Linked DNA regions of Macaca mulatta. Each later gene encodes a partner of the first gene's protein in a complex. Links are inferred from orthologs where the notes say so. Each region holds a gene or a part of one and is shown in the gene's direction. Other genes may lie near its edges.

Evidence for each region.
Region 2: DHX9 (region 1) and HNRNPU share a complex: the UniProt entries of both Homo sapiens proteins name them as parts of the coding region determinant (CRD)-mediated complex. The link is inferred for Macaca mulatta from reciprocal best matches to the Homo sapiens genes DHX9 and HNRNPU.

The regions. Positions count from the first base shown.
Region 1 is NC_133406.1:40,342,055-40,351,588, forward strand, and holds the end of DHX9 (ATP-dependent RNA helicase A), read left to right. Parts: intron 1-398; coding exon 399-551; intron 552-1,628; coding exon 1,629-1,789; intron 1,790-2,871; coding exon 2,872-2,983; intron 2,984-3,637; coding exon 3,638-3,799; intron 3,800-3,893; coding exon 3,894-4,021; intron 4,022-4,942; coding exon 4,943-5,172; intron 5,173-5,323; coding exon 5,324-5,439; intron 5,440-6,318; coding exon 6,319-6,519; intron 6,520-8,159; coding exon 8,160-8,526; 3' UTR 8,527-8,937; downstream 8,938-9,534. UniProt on the Homo sapiens protein: Multifunctional ATP-dependent nucleic acid helicase that unwinds DNA and RNA in a 3' to 5' direction and that plays important roles in many processes, such as DNA replication, transcriptional activation, post-transcriptional RNA regulation, mRNA translation and RNA-mediated gene silencing.
Region 2 is NC_133406.1:4,248,001-4,258,622, forward strand, and holds part of HNRNPU (heterogeneous nuclear ribonucleoprotein U), read left to right. Parts: coding exon 1-562; intron 563-1,457; coding exon 1,458-1,569; intron 1,570-1,656; coding exon 1,657-1,730; intron 1,731-3,730; coding exon 3,731-3,870; intron 3,871-4,805; coding exon 4,806-4,905; intron 4,906-5,340; coding exon 5,341-5,453; intron 5,454-5,903; coding exon 5,904-6,167; intron 6,168-6,455; coding exon 6,456-6,575; intron 6,576-7,305; coding exon 7,306-7,434; intron 7,435-7,536; coding exon 7,537-7,705; intron 7,706-8,010; coding exon 8,011-8,265; intron 8,266-8,557; coding exon 8,558-8,742; intron 8,743-9,119; coding exon 9,120-9,191; intron 9,192-9,658; coding exon 9,659-9,712; 3' UTR 9,713-10,622. UniProt on the Homo sapiens protein: DNA- and RNA-binding protein involved in several cellular processes such as nuclear chromatin organization, telomere-length regulation, transcription, mRNA alternative splicing and stability, Xist-mediated transcriptional silencing and mitotic cell progression.

The DNA.
Region 1 (9,534 bases):
AAAAGTTACACTAAACTTTGGAATAGAGATGACTTAAATAATTATTTTATTTTGTGTATGTGCCATATTCCATTTAAATGCTTTGCATTTGTTAATTTACTTAACGTTTACAAAAAACAAAAACAAAAAAACTCTTATAAGGTAGGTAATGGCATAGAAAGTTTGGCCAAGGCAGTTCAGCTGGTAAGTGGCAGGTAGATGTTACATTGCGTTTCAGTAGGTTGACAACTAGGAGTGTGCAGTCAAATTGATAATTTTTACTTGTGCCATTGATGTATAGACATCACAAGTAGGCATGACTTTAACTACATAGTGGAAAGGATTCACTACTTAGTGGATATGTAATAGTTATTGATAGTACACATGAGTCTTAGAATTAACCAGTCTTTCCTATGTAGGCAGAAAGTGAAACTCTTCACTGCTCACAACAATATGACCAACTATGCTACAGTATGGGCATCAAAAACAAACCTTGAGCAGCGGAAAGGGCGAGCTGGCCGAGTACGGCCTGGATTCTGCTTTCACCTGTGCAGCCGAGCTCGTTTTGAGAGGTAAGACCAATTCTTGACCTTTAGTAAGGGATTTTTGTTCTGTTCTCTGTAGGGACAGACATGCAGTTATGTAAACCTGCAAATTTAAGCTGATCTAAGTTTTGCCAGCCATGTTGGAATCAGGTGTAAATGTTTCTTAAGAATCTTCATCATGAATCATTTATAGAGAATAAGCCAGAATTAGAAATATGGAGACCTAGATTTTAATATTATTTGTGTCTAATATATTGTATAACACTAAGTGGTTACTCCTTAAGCCTGAGTTTTCCTCATTCTATACAATACTAAGTTACTTAATCTCTCTTGTTTCCTCAGTTGTAAAAAGAATATGGTAAATAATGACTAACCCATAGGATTAGTATAAGAAATTAAATGAGTTAATAATGTAAAATACTTTGAACAGTGTCTGGCACATCATGATCTCCCAATAAGTGTTTGCTATTGTTAATTTATACAGGTCAGATATCTCTTTTAAAACTGAAATACTTGGGACCAGAAGTGGATTTTGATTTATTTGTAATATTTGCATTGTATTTACCAGTTTGGCATCCCTAATCTGAAAACATGAAATCCAAAATGCTCTAGTGAGCATTTCCTTTAAGTGTCATGTCAGAAGTCAAAAAGTTTTGGATTTTAAAGAGTTACATCTGTAAGAGCCTTTCTAGTGGCACTAAAATTACATGAACTAGGAAGGTGGGAGGTTGTAGAGAAATGTCAGTATGAGTTATCCTACAAAAAGTGGTGTTGTCGTTTTTAACCCATGTTTGTCAACAGGCAAGGCCTGAAGAGACCATGGGTGGAGCTAATAGCATTCGAGATTTTGGATAATTTTTTCATTTTTCTTCTCAGCTGGAAAGGCCATCAAGCTGTGAGGATAGGTCAGAAACCACTATGCAGCCAGATTAAATTTTGTCAACAGTGTGTATAGTGAATGATAAAAGGTTCGATGGTAATTGTAAAATAAAAGGATGAGGAAAGGGCAGCTCTATCCCTGATTACCTTGCTGAAAAAAGTTTATTAAACTAACATCTGTGTATACACAAGGAGGATGGTTATTTTATGCTTGTTTTCTCTCAGACTTGAAACCCACATGACACCAGAGATGTTCCGAACACCATTGCATGAAATCGCTCTTAGCATAAAACTTCTGCGTCTGGGAGGAATTGGCCAATTTCTGGCCAAAGCAATTGAACCTCCCCCTTTGGATGCTGTGATTGAAGCAGAACACACTCTTAGAGGTACTTAACAAATGCAAACCTACTTGACACAGATATTAATCATACCATCTGTCTTATCCTGGCAGATAACACAACAAATGAATCAAGATGTAGTCAACAGGGCCGTGATAATAATAGCAAGGCCTCCAGTCTTACCTTAGGTACTTAATATAGTCCCTGTTCTAATGAGCAATGAGAGGGAAGAAAGGGACAGTGAGTGTTACTTTACAAAAGAAAACTTAAAAAGGCATCTCTTAACTATGTACTAAAGATCAGAACATAATTTAGGATACCCACAGAATTTCATATGAATCTCTTAGAACTTTTTTGAGACAGAATCTCGCTCCATTGCCCAGGCTGGAGTGCAGTGGCGTGATCTCAGCTCACTGCAACCTCCACCTCCCAGGTTCAGGCCATTCTTCTGCCTCAACCTCCCGAGTAGCTGAGACTACAGGCATACACCACCACACCTGGCAAATTTTTGTATTTTTAGTAGGGACGGGGTTTCACCACGTTGGCCAGGCTGGTCTGAAACTCCCTACCTCAAGTGATCCACCCACCTCAGCCTCCCAAAGTGCTGGGATTACAGGCGTGAGCCACGTCCAGCCTGGAACATTTATGTTTTCTTGCTAAAGTTGTTTTATTAGAAGCAGTGAAAATAGTGCAGTGAAAATTAAGGGCATTGGAGCTAGATCTGAATTTGAATTTTGAATCTAGCATTTATCTGCTATGTAACTTCAGAATTTTCTCCAGATTTTATTTTTTTTCTAAAACATTAACAGTTGAGTGTCAGACTTCTTATGGCATATAGAAACTTATGCTGCTATTATAGTTAATACTGTATTTATAGACTTAATATGAATTGTATTTGTTTTTATAACCTGCAGGATGTAGTTTTGTACCTTCCTTATGTTGAGTGCTCCAGATTTTGATTTTGTTCTATTTTTGAGTAAAGAGAATTGTTGACTATAGACATGGTACTAGCAGTGGCTTGACAAAAGAGGAAGTCTAAACTCTCTTAACCTTAATTTAGAAAGTAATGTTTTGTCTGCCTAAAATTAGTGTTCATTTGTTTCTACTCACAAAAAACTATCTCCCCACAGAGCTTGATGCATTAGATGCCAATGATGAGTTGACTCCTTTGGGACGAATCCTGGCTAAACTCCCCATTGAGCCTCGTTTTGGGAAAATGATGATAATGGGGTGTATTTTCTAGTAAGTGCTTTGTTTTATTTCTCTTCATTAAGTGGTAGAATAATTTCTGAATCTTCTTCTCCCTGTAAAAGCAGTATTGGCTCAGACAAAAAAATTCTGAATGTTCTTAAGGGAAGTGACATACTTAAATATTGAGAGAAGTATAACACGAAAAAAATGTACAGTTCCAGTAGATGGATATCTGGGCCCAACACGGGGAAACGGGCACTGATTTCTCATAAGTAAAAAGCAGGCCAGGCAATGTGGCTCACACCTTTAATCCTAGTACTTTGGGAGGCCGGGGTGGGAGGGTCCCTCGTTATTAATAGTTGGTCTTGAAAGAGCAGCATCAGCAAAAGAGGTTTATTTTATCAGAAAATGTTGAAGATTAAAGAGATTTGGTATGATGGGGAAGAGAGAGAGAATATTAAAGGAAAAATATACTTGGTCATAATTATGGTAAGTACGTGACCATTGGAATGTCAGCGCACCTTTTTTTTTTTCTCTCTGATTCTGAAGAGAGCAGCTGTAAAGTTCTTTGTTAAGCCAATTTCATTGCAAATAAAAGTAGAATCATAGCCATAAAGACTGCAACTCACTGTCGACAGTACTACCTGAGCTGCTGGCAACAATATTGTGATCTAGTCTGAATTTAACTGTCTTTGTGTATTTCAGCGTGGGAGATGCTATCTGTACCATTGCTGCTGCTACCTGCTTTCCAGAGCCTTTCATCAATGAAGGAAAGCGGCTGGGCTATATCCATCGAAATTTTGCTGGAAACAGATTTTCTGATCACGTAGCCCTTTTATCAGTATTCCAAGCCTGGGATGATGCTAGGTATGAGTAAGATTTGGGTGGTCTGTCTGTAGTTTCTCATTTGTATTTAGTTCTCGGGTCTTAGAGAATGATTTCTCATACCGATTTATTTTAGAATGGGTGGAGAAGAAGCAGAGATACGTTTTTGTGAGCACAAAAGACTTAATATGGCTACACTAAGAATGACTTGGGAAGCCAAAGTTCAACTCAAAGAGATTTTGATTAATTCTGGGTTTCCAGAAGGTAAGACTCCCATTCTTAAGATACCTTTAAAGTGACATTTATATAGTACATGCAAATTGACAGCAAAGTGTATTTTAGCTTCAAATTTTAGACCCTATGATTTTTCTATATTCCCAACTATTTCTTAGTTCTCATGGATACTGGTCCAGCTCCCAGAATGAGTACTTTGCTGATAACCTTATAGTGGTTTGCAAAGTAATTGATTAGCATTTAGACTTGAAGTAAATTCTACCACATTAAATTTTAAATGGCTTTAATATAAAGATGAACTGTAGTACTTTTCTTTTCCAACTAGGTTAAAATATAGAATTATTTCCTAAAACATTGAGAACTGGAATGCATAACCAGAGATAAGACTGTTGAGAGACAGAAGGTAGTTGGGCAAGATGGTAAATTTTTAACGGCTGTGATTGGAATAACTTAACAGAGTAGTGAGTGGTTCTCTTCTGTCATAAGCCAGCTGAAATGTTAGTTTCTCCTCAGAATTATAAGAAAGGGAAAACTTTTTATGTGCTAGAGTCTTGAGATGCATTTTATAAGTAATGAAACAGGCACCAAGGTATAAATTGTCTTTAATTTATCCAATTACGAGGTTATAAGGCTAGAACTCGTTTGTCTAGAACAAAATATGTCTGTGCTTTCAGCGGTTGACTGTCATGCTTTCCAGTCAGTAGCTAAGTACTCATAAAGTGTAGACTGGGTAAAAACGTCAGCCTTCATTCCAGTAGGTGTCCTCTTAGATTATCATTCCATCTTCTCTACAACTAACAACTATTGAAGAGTAGCAGATGAGAAAGTTTTACAGACAGGTTATGTGAAGAGAGGAAGAGTCAGTTCTCTGAATTTTCTTGAATAGTTTGCATGTAATGTGAAGATCAGCCAATTATCTGATTTTTCTTTTCACTCTGCTCCTCTTAACAGATTGTTTGTTGACACAAGTGTTTACTAACACTGGACCAGATAATAATTTGGATGTTGTTATCTCCCTCCTGGCCTTTGGTGTGTACCCCAATGTATGCTATCATAAGGAAAAGAGAAAGATTCTCACCACTGAAGGACGTAATGCACTTATCCATAAATCATCTGTTAATTGTCCTTTTAGTAGCCAAGACATGAAGTACCCATCTCCCTTCTTTGTATTTGGTGAAAAGGTAAGAAAAGACTACAAAAGTTAACATTGAAAGTTGAAATTGTCTTCACAATCATTAGGAATATGAATTTTGATTTTCAAAGCACAGTATGTGGCGGTATTTGGAAGTTGGAATGTCAACCATTTTGTACTGTCTCTTTCTCCATTTGCAGATTCGAACTCGAGCCATCTCTGCTAAAGGCATGACTTTAGTCACCCCCCTGCAGTTGCTTCTGTTTGCCTCCAAGAAAGTCCAATCTGATGGGCAGATCGTGCTTGTAGATGACTGGTATGGATTTTCCGCTGTGAACTCCAAACTGAATTCTTAGAATTATAATATGATGGAATTCAGCTGCTAATCTAACTTAATTATATACTAATTATAACTTAAATATATACTAATTATATCTAACTTAATTGCATAGTATATACTTAAACGGATACCAGTAGAAGCAGATGCATTAGAAATTTGAGCCATGTCTAACCACTATGCACACCACTATGGAATCAATCTAAGTGAAACTTGAATACACTTTCACATACTCTCTATATTGATTCAAAACTAGTGGCAAGCACTGGGCAAAAATGGAATAGAGCTTAATGGATAGCCAGTAGGCTCAGCCATCATATTCTTGAAAACCTAGAAAATGCCAGCATTCTGGGTCTCTTAATTCATTCTTTTAAAGTCTGGATGATCTGGCTGGGTGCCGCAGATGAGTTGGGCTCAGGAAGTTCGAGATCAGCCTGGACAACATGGTGAAACCTGTCTCTACTAAAAATACAAAAAATCTAGCCCAGTGTGGTAGTGCACACCTGTAGTCCCAGCTATTCTGGAGGCTGAGGCAGGAGAATCACTTGAACCTGGGAGGCAGAGGTTGCAGTGAGCCAAGATCATGCCACTGCACTCCAGCCTGGGCAACAGAGCAAGACTGTGTCTCAAAAAATAATAAGTCTGAATGATCCATATTGCCGGACTTTCTTTTGTTTATTATATATTACATATATTTTTGTATTTTATTTGGCTTGATAGACTTTAAGTAGTTTTTAAAAATATTAATGCTTAAGAAGTTAAATTTATTCTTTAACTTGCCATGTGTGAGGTTGAGAGATAATGGTCTTTTTCTTCATATACTCCCTCTCTTACTTTTAATGTTTTTCGCCACTTTAGGATTAAACTGCAAATATCTCATGAAGCTGCTGCCTGTATCACCGGTCTCCGGGCAGCCATGGAGGCTCTTGTTGTTGAAGTAACCAAACAACCTGCTATCATCAGCCAGTTGGACCCTGTAAATGAACGTATGCTGAACATGATCCGTCAAATCTCTAGACCCTCAGCTGCTGGTATCAACCTTATGATTGGCAGTACACGGTGAGTACCATATTAACTTCTCATTGAACCAAGTAGAGGGGAGAGATCTTTCATAGGTCTAGAATTCCTAGAGTTAGTGATAGAAGCCTTATTAAGTAAAATTCTAGATACAGATAGTTTAGTTCCATCTAACAAACTCAGAACAAAAATGTCATTTACTTTTGTTAGTCCCTTTGTTAGTAATTGGTCTACCGCATCAGTGCGTATTGGTAGTGTTGGAAAAGGATCTTACAAATACACATACGTAGTTCAGAGTAGGTCACATGACAGGGAAGTGACACAGCCCAGATAGCCCTTTTTCCATGGTACTGTTTTGGCATCTCTAAAGAAAAAATATTGATGAGATGTTAAATTGCTTCTTTATCCAATGTGTATGTGTTTTTGTTTATCTTAAACAACTAAGAGCATGGACATCTTAAAGCAAAGAAATGAGAAATTTATCTTAATTCTTAAAATTTTTATTTGCTTCAGGTTTTAAAATTTTTTCCTTTGCCCATGAGTTTTTATTTACAAATACTTGATACTTGCCAAAAAGGCAGAAAAGTGATACAATGTTTAGCCATATAGTCTTTGTTTAGATTCACTAATTTTCAGCGTTTTGTACATTTCCTTAATCATTTGTGATGAAGTAGTAGGCACTACCACATTTTACATCAATACACTTCATATCTTTTAAGAACATGGTCACAATACCACCCCAAAACCTTAAGTGTTTTAGTAATACTATAATATGCTATTGTACTAAAATCCTTCCAGTTATCCAAAAATGACCTCTAATTCCTCATCAAAAATGACTTACTGCATTTGGTCTGTCTATAAAATGGGTAGATGGTTATCCTCATTCTCTTTAATATAAATAAGGAAACCGGGCACAGATAAGACTCAAGGTCATACAACTAATAACTGATAGAACCAGATTCAAACCCAGGCAACATGCCTCCTGAAACAGTGTTCTTACTAGGCTTTACTGTGGCCCTCCTAGGTGCTTAAATGTATAGGATAATTCAGTAAGCATCATAGGCAGATAACAAATTAAGTATTCATGGGTGTTTAGGAGAAGAGAGATTATTTTTGGTAGGAGGGCTGGTAAGCAAGGAACCTTTGTATATATAATCTGTTTCTATGAGGGATAGTAGTCCAGAAACTAGAAAGAAAGGGATATACGTAAGAGAGTTTAGGATGTATGAATATGTGGTGGCCTAAATTACAGTAGTAGATAGAATTTTTCAAAATTAGATATACATTTTTCAAAATCGTATTTCAGAATTATTGCAGGAAAACTTTTAGTGATAAAGACCAAATAGTTTATTGGCAGCTCCAGGAACCCTCTCCTAATGCTTGCCTTCTTGGAACACTATGTTGTTGACCTGAGTAAGAGCACTTCTTAAAGTTGTAATGACATACTGCCAAAATTCAAAACCTTTGAGATTGAACCAGAAAGAACTTCAGAAAAACAGATGGATATAATTGATGACTGTTTTAGAATAGCAGATCAATTTTGTTTCAATTTCGATTTGTGCGTTTGGCTTCATTCCCTTTATGTATTAAATTTTCAAATATAACTAACTGTGTGCATTTGGTGAGTGGTTGGGAAATAATAAGAATGCTTTGCTGAAGTGATGGTTTTGTGCTTTTCCTAGGTATGGAGATGGTCCACGTCCTCCCAAGATGGCCCGATACGACAATGGAAGCGGATATAGAAGGGGAGGTTCTAGTTACAGCGGTGGAGGCTATGGCGGTGGCTATACCAGTGGAGGCTATGGTGGCGGAGGCTATGGTAGCGGAGGCTATGGTGGCAGCCCCAACTCCTTTCGGGCAGGATATGGTGCAGGTGTTGGTGGAGGCTATAGAGGAGTTTCCCGAGGTGGCTTTAGAGGCAACTCTGGAGGAGACTACAGAGGGCCTAGTGGAGGCTACAGAGGATCTGGGGGATTCCAGCGAGGAGGTGGTAGGGGGGCCTATGGAGGTGGCTACTTTGGACAGGGGAGAGGAGGTGGTGGCTATTAAATCTTGGTTATGTCAGTTCCTGTGTGTAGACAGTAAGGAAAAAAAGGCATGCTATGTGTTACGTGTTTTTTCCAATATGTTTATTTGCCACCAAAAAGTAAATGCATTTTCACCCATTCTGTGGTTCATTGTAGTTTAAGGAAACCAAGCATATAGATGCATTAGTGATTTTGTTTATATTATGTAAAATATAACGATCTATCTTAAAAATACCACAGTTTGTATTTTTTCTTTAAGGAGTAAAGATTTGCCTTTAAATAACTTGGTATTTTCCTGGCTTTCGTTTAATACAGTAGAAAATAAAGTATTACACCGAATACTTGCCGTGTAGTTTGTTGACCTTATATATTAGAAAATTTTATAATGCCAGTTACATCTGTTCATTTTAAATGTCAGAGAAGTTGTACCATGTTTCAAAAGTATACTAAGTGATACTACTTGTAATAGAAAAATCACCTTGGAATTGTTACCTTTTGAAGTAAATACTGGCAAGTGTACAAGCCACATAAACCTGAATAAAACTTTTGACCTAGGGCTGAACATTTGGCTTCCTCCCATATTCTGTCTTTGAATAAGACCAAGGCCAGCATTTTCTTTTCTAAGTGAGTTTCTACTGTGACAATTAAAAGCAATATAATCACTCCGTTAGAACTCTTAAGCCACTTTAATAGACATGTTCATACATTTATAACACTTTACAGTTTCCAGTGAATTTGCAGATTTCTCATTTGAGCAATGGGAGAGGGCAAAGGTATTGGATTAGACAGAACTGGGTCTGTCTTAATTCTTTTCTCCACCATGTGGATGATCTTGGGCAAGTCATATTTTTGTCTTGGTTTCCTTTTCAAAGTCCTTTATCCTGCATATATGTTGTAGATCACCTTCAGCAGTTAAGCTGATGGCACATATTTACAGACACACAAGTCTATCTCCAACCTTGATTTCCTTTCTGAGCCATGTAAGCAGCTGCATACTGAACATGTATCTCTGCTTAAATATCCCACAGAA
Region 2 (10,622 bases), about 36 Mb from region 1:
GACGAGGAGGCCGGGGGCCGCCCCGCCATGGAGCCCGGGAACGGCAGCCTAGACCTGGGCGGGGATTCCGCCGGGCGCTCGGGAGCAGGCCTCGAGCAGGAGGCCGCGGTCGGCGGCGATGAAGAGGAGGAGGAAGAGGAAGAGGAGGAGGAAGGAATCTCCGCCCTGGACGGCGACCAGATGGAGCTAGGAGAGGAGAACGGGGCCGCGGGGGCGGCCGACTCGGGCCCGATGGAGGAGGAGGAGGCCGCCTCGGAAGACGAGAACGGCGACGATCAGGGTTTCCAGGAAGGGGAAGATGAGCTCGGGGACGAAGAGGAAGGCGCGGGCGACGAGAACGGGCACGGGGAGCAGCAGCCTCAACCGCCGGCGACGCAGCAGCAACAGACCCAACAGCAGCGCGGGGCCGCCAAGGAGGCCGCGGGGAAGAGCAGCGGCCCCACCTCGCTGTTCGCGGTGACGGTGGCGCCGCCCGGGGCGAGGCAGGGCCAGCAGCAGGCGGGAGGTAAGAAGAAGGCGGAAGGCGGCGGAGGCGGCGGTCGCCCCGGGGCTCCGGCGGCGGGTGAGTGCTGCGTTGTACGTTGCGCGCGGCGGGAGGCCCGCGCGGGGTGGGGACCGTGCCCCAGGCCTGCCGGAGCCCCGCAGGGGGAGGGAGCCCCGGGCGGGCGGGGGGCCGCGGGGAGGGTGGCGGGTGGGGGAGGGGGCGCGGGGAATCCCAGATTAGCCGAGAGGCCTCGGGCTCGGGGCGTGTGTGCGTGTGTTCGTGTGTGTGTGTGTGTGTGTGTGTGACGGCGGTGGCAGCGCCTCCATTATGTGGCTCGAGAGCCGGGGGGAGCTGCAGCTGCCGCTGGAGGGGGAGGAGCCGCGGGCGGGCGGCGGGAGGGAGCCCGGTCGGCCCGCGGTGGCGCCGTCGCGCTGCGTGCGCGCGGTGCGGGCACATGTCTCGGGGGGAGGGGAGAGGCCCCAGGTCCCGGGGCGGGCGCGCTTTGGCGGCTCCTCGCCGCTGTATTGTGCAAGGAGCGCAGGGGCTCGGCGTGACGTCACTTCCTGCGGGAGGAGCCGGGCGGGGCGGGGCGGGGGGCGGAAGATCAGTACAATGCGGCCGCGGGGAGCGCGGGCCCGCGGGGGAGGGGAGCGCCGCCGCGCCGGGCTCGGCCCCTCCCCCTCCTGCGCCCTGGTCGCGATACACGTGGGCTTCGGGCCTGGGCCGCGCAGTTTTTCTTTGGGTTTCTCGAATCATCGAGGAGACTGGCAAAATTCGTAACGTCTTTAGACTGCGTCACTAGCGCTAATCCAATTCGTAGCTGATTGTTCTTCGAATTCACATTTGAGTCCTCGGTTAAAACCTCGGTTAAAAAGCAGGATAAAGTCGAGCTGCTTTGCTTCTCGGAACGGAAAAGCGTTTTTTTGTTGTTGTTTAGCGGCTTGGCCTCTTATGGGGGTCTTGTGTGTTTTAGGGGACGGCAAAACAGAACAGAAAGGCGGAGATAAAAAGAGGGGTGTTAAAAGACCACGAGAAGATCATGGCCGTGGATATTTTGAGTACATTGAAGAGAACAAGTATAGCAGGTATAGGATGCTCACCTAGTTTTACTTGTCATCCCTTATTCGTTCGTTGATCGGAAAGCTGTATCAGGAGACAATTCTGTCTTTCAGAGCCAAATCTCCTCAGCCACCGGTTGAAGAAGAAGATGAACACTTCGATGACACAGTGGTTTGTCTTGATACTTGTAAGTGAAGCTGTTTCTCCCCAATTATGAAATGCGGTGATGGTTTTTTTTTTTTTTTTGCTTCCAAAATGTTAGAAAACTTAATGCTTAAGTGCAGCAAAAGTTGGGTTAGGTTTTTTTAAAAGCAGGAAGAGATAATGGTTTATATTCAGAACCTAGTAGTTTAATATTTAGCACGGCATCAGTTGTATCAAATGGATTATTTTACAGGCTCTAGGAGTTTCATATTTTTATGACTTGAAAGTTCTCGTTCTTAGGAAATGTAAAATTAATGCCAGTTTCTGACTAGCTAACGGAAACTTGTAACACTACCTATAATTTAGCCTTACAGGCTTCTACAATAAAGTAATTCATTTTTTTGTGGAATTATATTAAGTGAGCTATTTGGGCTAGTTAAATATTTACTAATGACTTCTCCCATTAGCACACAAGTATATTCCCTATTCTAAAAGATTGTAATATTATTTTTTCAATAACTGCTCTTTTGTTCTCAATTCCAGTTCAGTAGCTGCTGCTTTAAACATAAGTTGATTTCTTCCAAAGACCTGAGGCAGCAGCAGTGGGCTATCACTGGGCCACTAGCTTTCTTCAGCAGCGAATGGTATCAATGGCAGTGCAGCACTGTAAATACTGCTACTTCACCCAGTTGGGTTGCAATTGAGTATGAGAAAGTATTGCAAACCTCTAAGTGGGCTTTGACTGTCAGACTTGCATTTTTTTTGTTGTTGTTATAAAAAAAAGTAGTTGGTTTAGTGACCAGAATTCACAACTCTGGGTGTGATAAATAGACCAAAGAATAGAAATACCTGTTTGAAAGTATCAGCTGTGGTGTCAGCCTGCTCTGTTAGATGGAGGGCATTGAAGCTTAGCTTCTCATGTTTTCTTGTACAATTTGGTTTTATTCAGATTTGTAAGAGTGTAAATGTAAAACTCTTTCTTACTGGAATGTCCTTTACAGAAGGTTGAGATAGTCATCTGAGCCTTTTTAAAGTAAAAAACTGCAGGTGAAAAAGGAGTTAGTTGATTTGAAAGTTTTATGTGAAATTCTGGGTTGTGTAAATAAAAAGTTGCTAGGAATTGGCAAGGTAGTGAAGTGGTGACTCATGCAGGTAATGTAATTGTTAGATTTTTTAGCAAATCAGATAGGCATATGTCAATATAAACACAATGTTGAATTCAAACAATCTGTTGAATTAAATTCTGCTGATTACAGTAATTCTAATTTAAGAAAAATTCCAAACTGTAGATTTATTTTTCTCTGATCAGTAAAAAAAAAATTGAATTCCAGCTTGACTTTAGCTGTTGAAGTGAGAAGTCTGAGAAGGTGCATGTTAATGAGCCAGTGACCCATAGGTAGCTAGGTTAAAGACACTTTGGATTTGGATAATCCGGGAAGCAGTTAATCCCTAATTGTTGAACAGGCAGTCCTGGGTAAAGAGGACCTAAAATGCTGCACTATTAACAGCATTAGACGGCCAGGTTTGTACTTCATAGATTTAGGCTGTCTTCTTCACAAGTTTTAGAAGAAGAATTTAGGAGCTAGAGCCCTGGTGCAGGATCAACAGCAGCTCATACTCCTGTTTCAAAATAATTTGGTCGTGGCCTCCCTTCAGTTTTAATGTGGCACTGGTAAATCTACCTGGTTCTGGCATGCTTCACTTTGATTTCCTGCTATCCTCTACTGCTTGCCTCTAAATCAAGGTAAAGAGCAGAGCAGGTATGTATTAATGTCACATTGTCTTGATTATTTTAAATACTTAAAATATACATGTTAAACCTTGGTATTAGTTTCAGAGGCAGTTTACTTTTCAGTACATAATTTAAAAGGAGTGACTTGGTGGGAGTGGGGCTTTAAACTGAAAATTGGAACAACAGCATGATGTGGAGAAAAGTTGTGCAGCGTTAAGTACATGCAAAAATTAAATAACCAAGTTTTCTCTACATAGCATATATGTTTACATTGGATGTCAAAAGTAACACAGTATTTGATATAATTACAGATAATTGTGATCTACATTTTAAAATATCAAGAGATCGTCTCAGTGCTTCTTCCCTTACAATGGAAAGTTTTGCTTTTCTTTGGGCTGGAGGAAGAGCATCTTATGGTGTGTCAAAAGGCAAAGTGTGTTTTGAGATGAAGGTAAATGCAATTTTATGATGTTTTTGTTTGATTTTGGAGACAGAGTCTCACTCTGTCCCCTAGGCTGGATTGGTGTGGTGTGACCCAGGCTCAACTGCAACCTCCTCGTCCTGGGTTCAAGTGATTCTTCTTGCCTCAGCCTCACAAGTAGCTGGGACTATAGGCACGTGCCACCACACCTGGCTAATTTTTGTATTTTTAATAGAGAACGGGGCTCCTGACCTCAGGTGATCCACCCACCTCGGCCTCCCAAAGTGCTGGGATTACAGGCTTGAGCCACCGCGCCCAGCCTTTTTTTTTCTTTTCTTTTTTTCTTTTTAAAATAGTGACAGGGTCTCACCATGTTGCCCAGGCTGGTCTTGAACTCGTAAGCTCAAGTGATCTGCCTGCCTGGGCCTCCCAGAATACTGAAATTACAGGTGCTTCATACTGCTAAGTTATCAGAGGTACTTATTTTTTGAAGCTTCCTGTAAATTAAAAGAGGAACTTGGAACCTTCATTTTGTTGTGACAGTTAAGTTATGTTAGAACTTGACATGCAGAGCTAGGCAACTTTTTATTTAGGGTACTTCATTTTTATCAAGCATTTGAAAGGGCCACCAAAGAGTGAAAAATAAAATTTGGTTAGATTACAGGTTTTGTTGGCGAGAAAAACATTAAATGTATCCTTTAATTGGCTTTAAGTTGAAGACTGACAACATGAACTGTAAAAATATTAACTATTCTTTTAAATATGGGTCAAATAAGTATTTAACATTTCAAGTTATAAGCACATCAGTTTAAAGTTCTTACAAATATTAGGGATGGGCTAGAGTGTGCCATCTCTTTGTATTTATAGCTCGAGGAAGATTAGCTCATGACCCTATGAAATAAGCCAGAGTTAAGGGGTTACCTCCTTGGTTTATGATTTTAATTATTTAATGATTCGACTTTCAGGTTACAGAGAAGATCCCAGTAAGGCATTTATATACAAAAGATATTGACATACATGAAGTTCGTATTGGCTGGTCACTAACTACAAGTGGAATGTTACTTGGTAAAGATTCTTTTTGACTGATGTGGGCTCATGAATGTTTAGGAGGGTCTGATATCCTTATTTTTTAACCAGACTAGAAGGCATTCTAAGCCTTTTGTCTGTTTTTATCTATTCTGTTAATACTTCAGACAAGTAATATTAGCACATAGTAGGCACAGGCTACATTTTAGTTTTTGTTCCTTTATTAGAAGTTTATGGTTGAAATAAAATCTTACCCATGATATGCAAATTGTCAACTAATTTGGTCTCTGCATATATATATATCCCTCCTAACTTTCATCAATTCTAGTACAGAGGTAGAAAAGTAATAGTGTCAGTGACAGGTGATTAGGTTATATGCTCATTTCTCTTGTAGCCTACATTTTAAGTAGTGAAATAGATGAGTCTTTGGACTATTTTAAAAATCTACTTCACGAAGGTTAATTACTTTCTTAGGTGAAGAAGAATTTTCTTACGGGTATTCTCTAAAAGGAATAAAAACATGCAACTGTGAGACTGAAGATTATGGAGAAAAGTTTGATGAAAATGATGTGATTACATGTTTTGCTGTAAGTTAAAGCTAACTTTCTATGTATAAATGGCAAATTAGTAGCTATATCTAGGAACTTTTAAGAAGCTTTATTAAGGTCAATCTTCAATAGGAGCAACATAAATACACCAGTCCCTGGGTTAGTATAAATACTCATTCAGCAGTTGAATTGGGAAAATACAGGACATTTTTGAGGAACTCACTAATTTCATTTTGACTGAAAACAATGAAGATGAAATTGACCTAGAAAATTTAGTCTAACTTCTAGGTCACTATTGTTTCTGGTTCTGGAGATACGTGCTTCATTGTTTGTAACCATCAGATTTCTTAACTGTGTAGCCCTTAGAGGCCACTTAATAGTTGTTTAACCTGTAGCTCCCACAGGATAAGCTTTGCTCCTAATTTTAATTATTAGTTTTTTAGAAAGTTTATAGGAAGCAGATAACTTGAATTTTTTGCTGTTTAACAGAACTTTGAAAGTGATGAAGTAGAACTCTCCTATGCTAAGAATGGACAAGATCTTGGCATTGCTTTCAAAATCAGTAAGGAAGTTCTTGCTGGACGGCCACTCTTCCCGCATGTTCTCTGCCACAACTGTGCAGTTGAATTTAATTTTGGTCAGAAGGAAAAGCCATATTTTCCAATACCTGAAGAGTATACTTTTATCCAGAATGTCCCCTTAGAGGATCGAGTTAGAGGACCAAAGGGGCCTGAAGAGAAGAAAGATTGTGAAGTAAGTGATTTTTTTTTTTTTTTTTAACTGGCATTTGAATATTGTTTGACTGGCACAAAATGACATTTAGAAGAGGTAGATGATTAGTCTGTTTACTTTGTGCTGTACATATTTCTCTTAAGTAACCATTGTTTTCCCCTTATGTTGACTGTTACTCTTTCCATAAACACAAATTTTTGTCCCTTAGTATAAGGGCTATGAAGACTTAGATATTTAAATTGGCCTTAATAGAACAATATTTAAAGAATTATTAGGTGGTGTCTAATGACATTTCATTATTTTCACTAGGTTGTGATGATGATTGGCTTGCCAGGAGCTGGAAAAACTACCTGGGTTACTAAGCATGCAGCGGAAAATCCAGGGAAATACAACATTCTTGGCACAAATACTATTATGGATAAAATGATGGTAAGTAAAATGTTCAGGGCCTCATCTCAGTGTTTAAAATAGACGAGGAGAAGGCTGGGCATGGTGGTTCACGCCTGTAATCTCAGCATTTTGGGAGACTGAGGTGGATGGATCACCTGAGGTCAGGAGTTTGAGACCCACCTGGCCAACATGGCAAAGGCCCATTTCTACTGAAAATACAAAAATTAGCCAAGCGTGGTAGTGGGCACCTGTAATCCCAGCTGCTTGGGAGACTGAGGCAGGGAGAATTACTTGAACCTGGGAGGCAGAGGTTGCAGTGAGTCGAGATCGTGCCGTTGTACTCCAATCTGGGCGACAGAGCAAGACTCTGTCTCAGAAAAAAAAAAAAAGAAAAATGATAGACTAGGAGGTATTCTAGGTAAACCTTTTGCCTTTGTCTGTATCCATTTTGTTAATATCTTAAGAAGGTGGGAGGAAAGGCAAGATTAAGTTGGTTCTTTAAGTAAGCTCTGTGAGGGTAAACTGCCTTCCGGTGGCTAGGCTTCTGTGTTTTTGAGCACAGGAGCTGCTAGTGTTTCTAGAAGCTAAAAAGAATTAAGTGTAGGGTGTAGGGTCTTGTTACATAGTTTAAGTGACCCTGTTTTTGTAACAATAATGGACAAAGGTAATGTATGTTGCCTGCTTTACATATAGATGAGAGTTGAATTTTAAAAAGCATAACTTATTAAAATTCACAAGTTCAAGGGGAAATTTTAACTTTTGAATATAGGTGGCAGGTTTTAAGAAGCAAATGGCAGATACTGGAAAACTGAACACACTGTTGCAGAGAGCCCCACAGTGTCTTGGGAAATTTATTGAGATTGCTGCCCGAAAGAAGCGAAATTTCATTCTGGATCAGGTATGCTGTAGCTTTGAAGATGAAAAATATTAACTGATAATTTAGATAGATTGGTGTAGAATTAACATTTAGGGTTGTAAACATAAATTTCTTTTTTTAAAGACAAATGTGTCTGCTGCTGCCCAGAGGAGAAAAATGTGCCTGTTCGCAGGCTTCCAGCGAAAAGCTGTTGTAGTGTGCCCAAAAGATGAAGACTATAAGCAAAGAACACAGAAGAAAGCAGAAGTAGAGGGGAAAGACTTACCAGAACATGCGGTCCTCAAAATGAAAGGCATGGAATTTTAATTTAATTCTGTTAAGTGTGTTAAATCTTTTTTTTTTTTTTTTTCCATGCATATTCTGCTTGTGTAACTTTGTTATATCTATTAGGACTTACTCCTCTGAAAAGTTAACATTTTTTCCAGCAATACTGCTTCAGGAATTACAATTGCACTTGTTAAATATGCATATATGTTTGGTCTATTTCTGTTTATTTTTAGGAAAATACGTTACTAAACCTTAATAATTTGTTAGCTTTAGGATTGTGGGGATTTGTGGTGGGTTTCTAAGTTAATAATACGACTTTGTTTCCTGCAGGAAACTTTACCCTCCCAGAGGTAGCTGAGTGCTTTGATGAAATAACCTATGTTGAACTTCAGAAGGAAGAAGCCCAAAAACTTTTGGAGCAATATAAGGAAGAAAGCAAAAAGGCTCTTCCACCAGAAAAGAAACAGAACACTGGCTCAAAGAAAAGCAATAAAAATAAGAGTGGCAAGAACCAGTTTAACAGAGGTGGTGGCCATAGAGGACGTGGAGGATTCAATATGCGTGGTGGAAATTTCAGAGGAGGAGGCAAGTTAATTTTGAGTGTTCTGTATTTAGTTCAGGATCGAAACAAATGATAATTTTATAGTTTGGATATAGCTGGTTTCTTCCTCATTAATGGTATGCTGTCACAGTAATTAGTATTCATGTAATTTGACAGTAAATACACCTAGGTTATGTTGTTAATGGTTAGAATTAAACATTACTTTTGTCTTTAAACAATTATTTTTGGAGAAAAAGGAACAATCTAGAGGAATCCTGAGTCTTCTGTATAAGTAGGGTACAATGCAATGAAACTAAAACATCCCTTGTTTTTTAGCCCCTGGGAATCGTGGCGGATATAATAGGAGGGGCAACATGCCACAGAGAGGTGGTGGCGGCGGTGGAAGTGGTGGAATCGGCTATCCATACCCTCGTGCCCCTGTTTTTCCTGGCCGTGGTAGTTATTCAAACAGAGGGAACTACAACAGAGGTGGAATGCCCAACAGAGGGAACTACAACCAGGTAATGATTAAAGATCCCTGGAAGCATGATGATATCTGTATAGCTTAATCTGGAAAGTTGTGAGCTTTATGTTGGGGTGTCTTAGTAGTCCATAAGGAACATGATAGGCATTGACATAAGGAAAATTGAACTAGTAATGGTGAAATGAGTCTACTTACTTTTGAGTTTTTTCAGGTGTACTAATTAACAAGTCAGATGCGTTTCTCATAATGAATAAAAAATAAAAACTAAGAAACCAGCAGAGGGTATCCAGAATTTGTATATTGCCCCCTAAGATTAGGGGCTAGCAACCTGTCCATTTCTGCTCCTCTCTCCCACCCCCGCAAACCTAACAAGCGATTGGGCCCAGAGCTCTTAGATCTGTTTCCTTTTTGTAGAACTTCAGAGGACGAGGAAACAATCGTGGCTACAAAAATCAATCTCAGGGCTACAACCAGTGGCAGCAGGGTGTAAGTAATTTCTTACGTGGTTTATGTACATTAATTGTATTTTGAGTTCCTAAGATTTATCAGTCTTGAAAAAGATCCTGTCCAGGGATTGAAGTGTTTATAAGTGTTAATAGGGTAAAGTGTGAATCGTGTTGCAGTAGTAGCCATAATCTACCTTTTGAAGGCAAAATAGGTTGAAAATTGCTATAAGTTAAATTTTTTTAATGAAGTAATATTATTTAATATATACAGTTCTTTTTACTGTTAGCTTTAATTGTGTAAACTAACAAATTCATGATGTGTTTCATTTTGTAATGTGTATTGATAATTATGGGATATTAAAACTAAATCTGGTAGAAATCAGAGGTATGACAAGTATAAATTTGTTTCCAGCAAATTACTCTGAATTAGATTCATTGTCATTTCCTAAAAACAGTTTGAGTGGCTTATTGATGTTTTTTCTTTAAAAACAAAATTTTCTCTTACAGCAATTCTGGGGTCAGAAGCCATGGAGTCAGCATTATCACCAAGGATATTATTGAATACCCAAATAAAACGAACTGATACATATTTCTCCAAAACCTTCACAAGAAGTCGACTGTTTTCTTTAGTAGGCTAACTTTTTAAACATTCCACAAGAGGAAGTGCCTGCGGGTTCCTTTTTTAGAAGCTTTGTGGGTTGATTTTTTTTCTTTTCTTTTTTGTACATTTTTAATTGCAGTTTAAAAGTGAATCGTAAGAGAACCTCAGCATTGTGCACGATAAGAGAATGTGTCAGTATTTCAGGGTTCTACATTTTATCTGTAAAATGTGACTTTTTTTTTTTATCACAACAGAAGTAAAATGTTGCTTTGTACCTGGTGTCTTTTATTAAGAATTTACTCCCCCCATTTCTCACAGAGAATAACAGTCGGGAGTCATTGTCACAATATAATAGAAATGTTAGCAACCAGATTCATGTAAGGACTAAGTGGTCCTCATGAATTGCATTAAGACTCTGTACTGCTCATATTACACTCCATCCTCTCTGTAGTTTGCTGGGTAGTGGAGGGGGTAAGCTAAATTGTAGTTTCTGACAATAACTGGGAAGGATTTTTCTTAAATAACGATGGAATTGGTATAATTGGGATTGAAAACCAAAACTTGGAACTAAGATAGAGAAGATGGAGTGTATGTAGAAGGGCTGTTAAAAATGTAAACCTTGGTTGCATTATTTGTGGAGGCTCAAACTTGTGAAGGTTAAATACCATAATTTTTCCATTTGTTCTGCATTTTGATTCTGAAAAGAAAGCTGGCTTTGCCCATTTCTTATTAAAAAAACTTGTTGTAAATCCAGTTGTCTAATGGGATCTATATGAAGTTAGCCATGTCTGTATGCCCTTCTCCCACAAAATACTGTATAACTAGTGTGCTTGTAGTAGTTAACTCCACCATCTTTGTAAGCTAATGAAA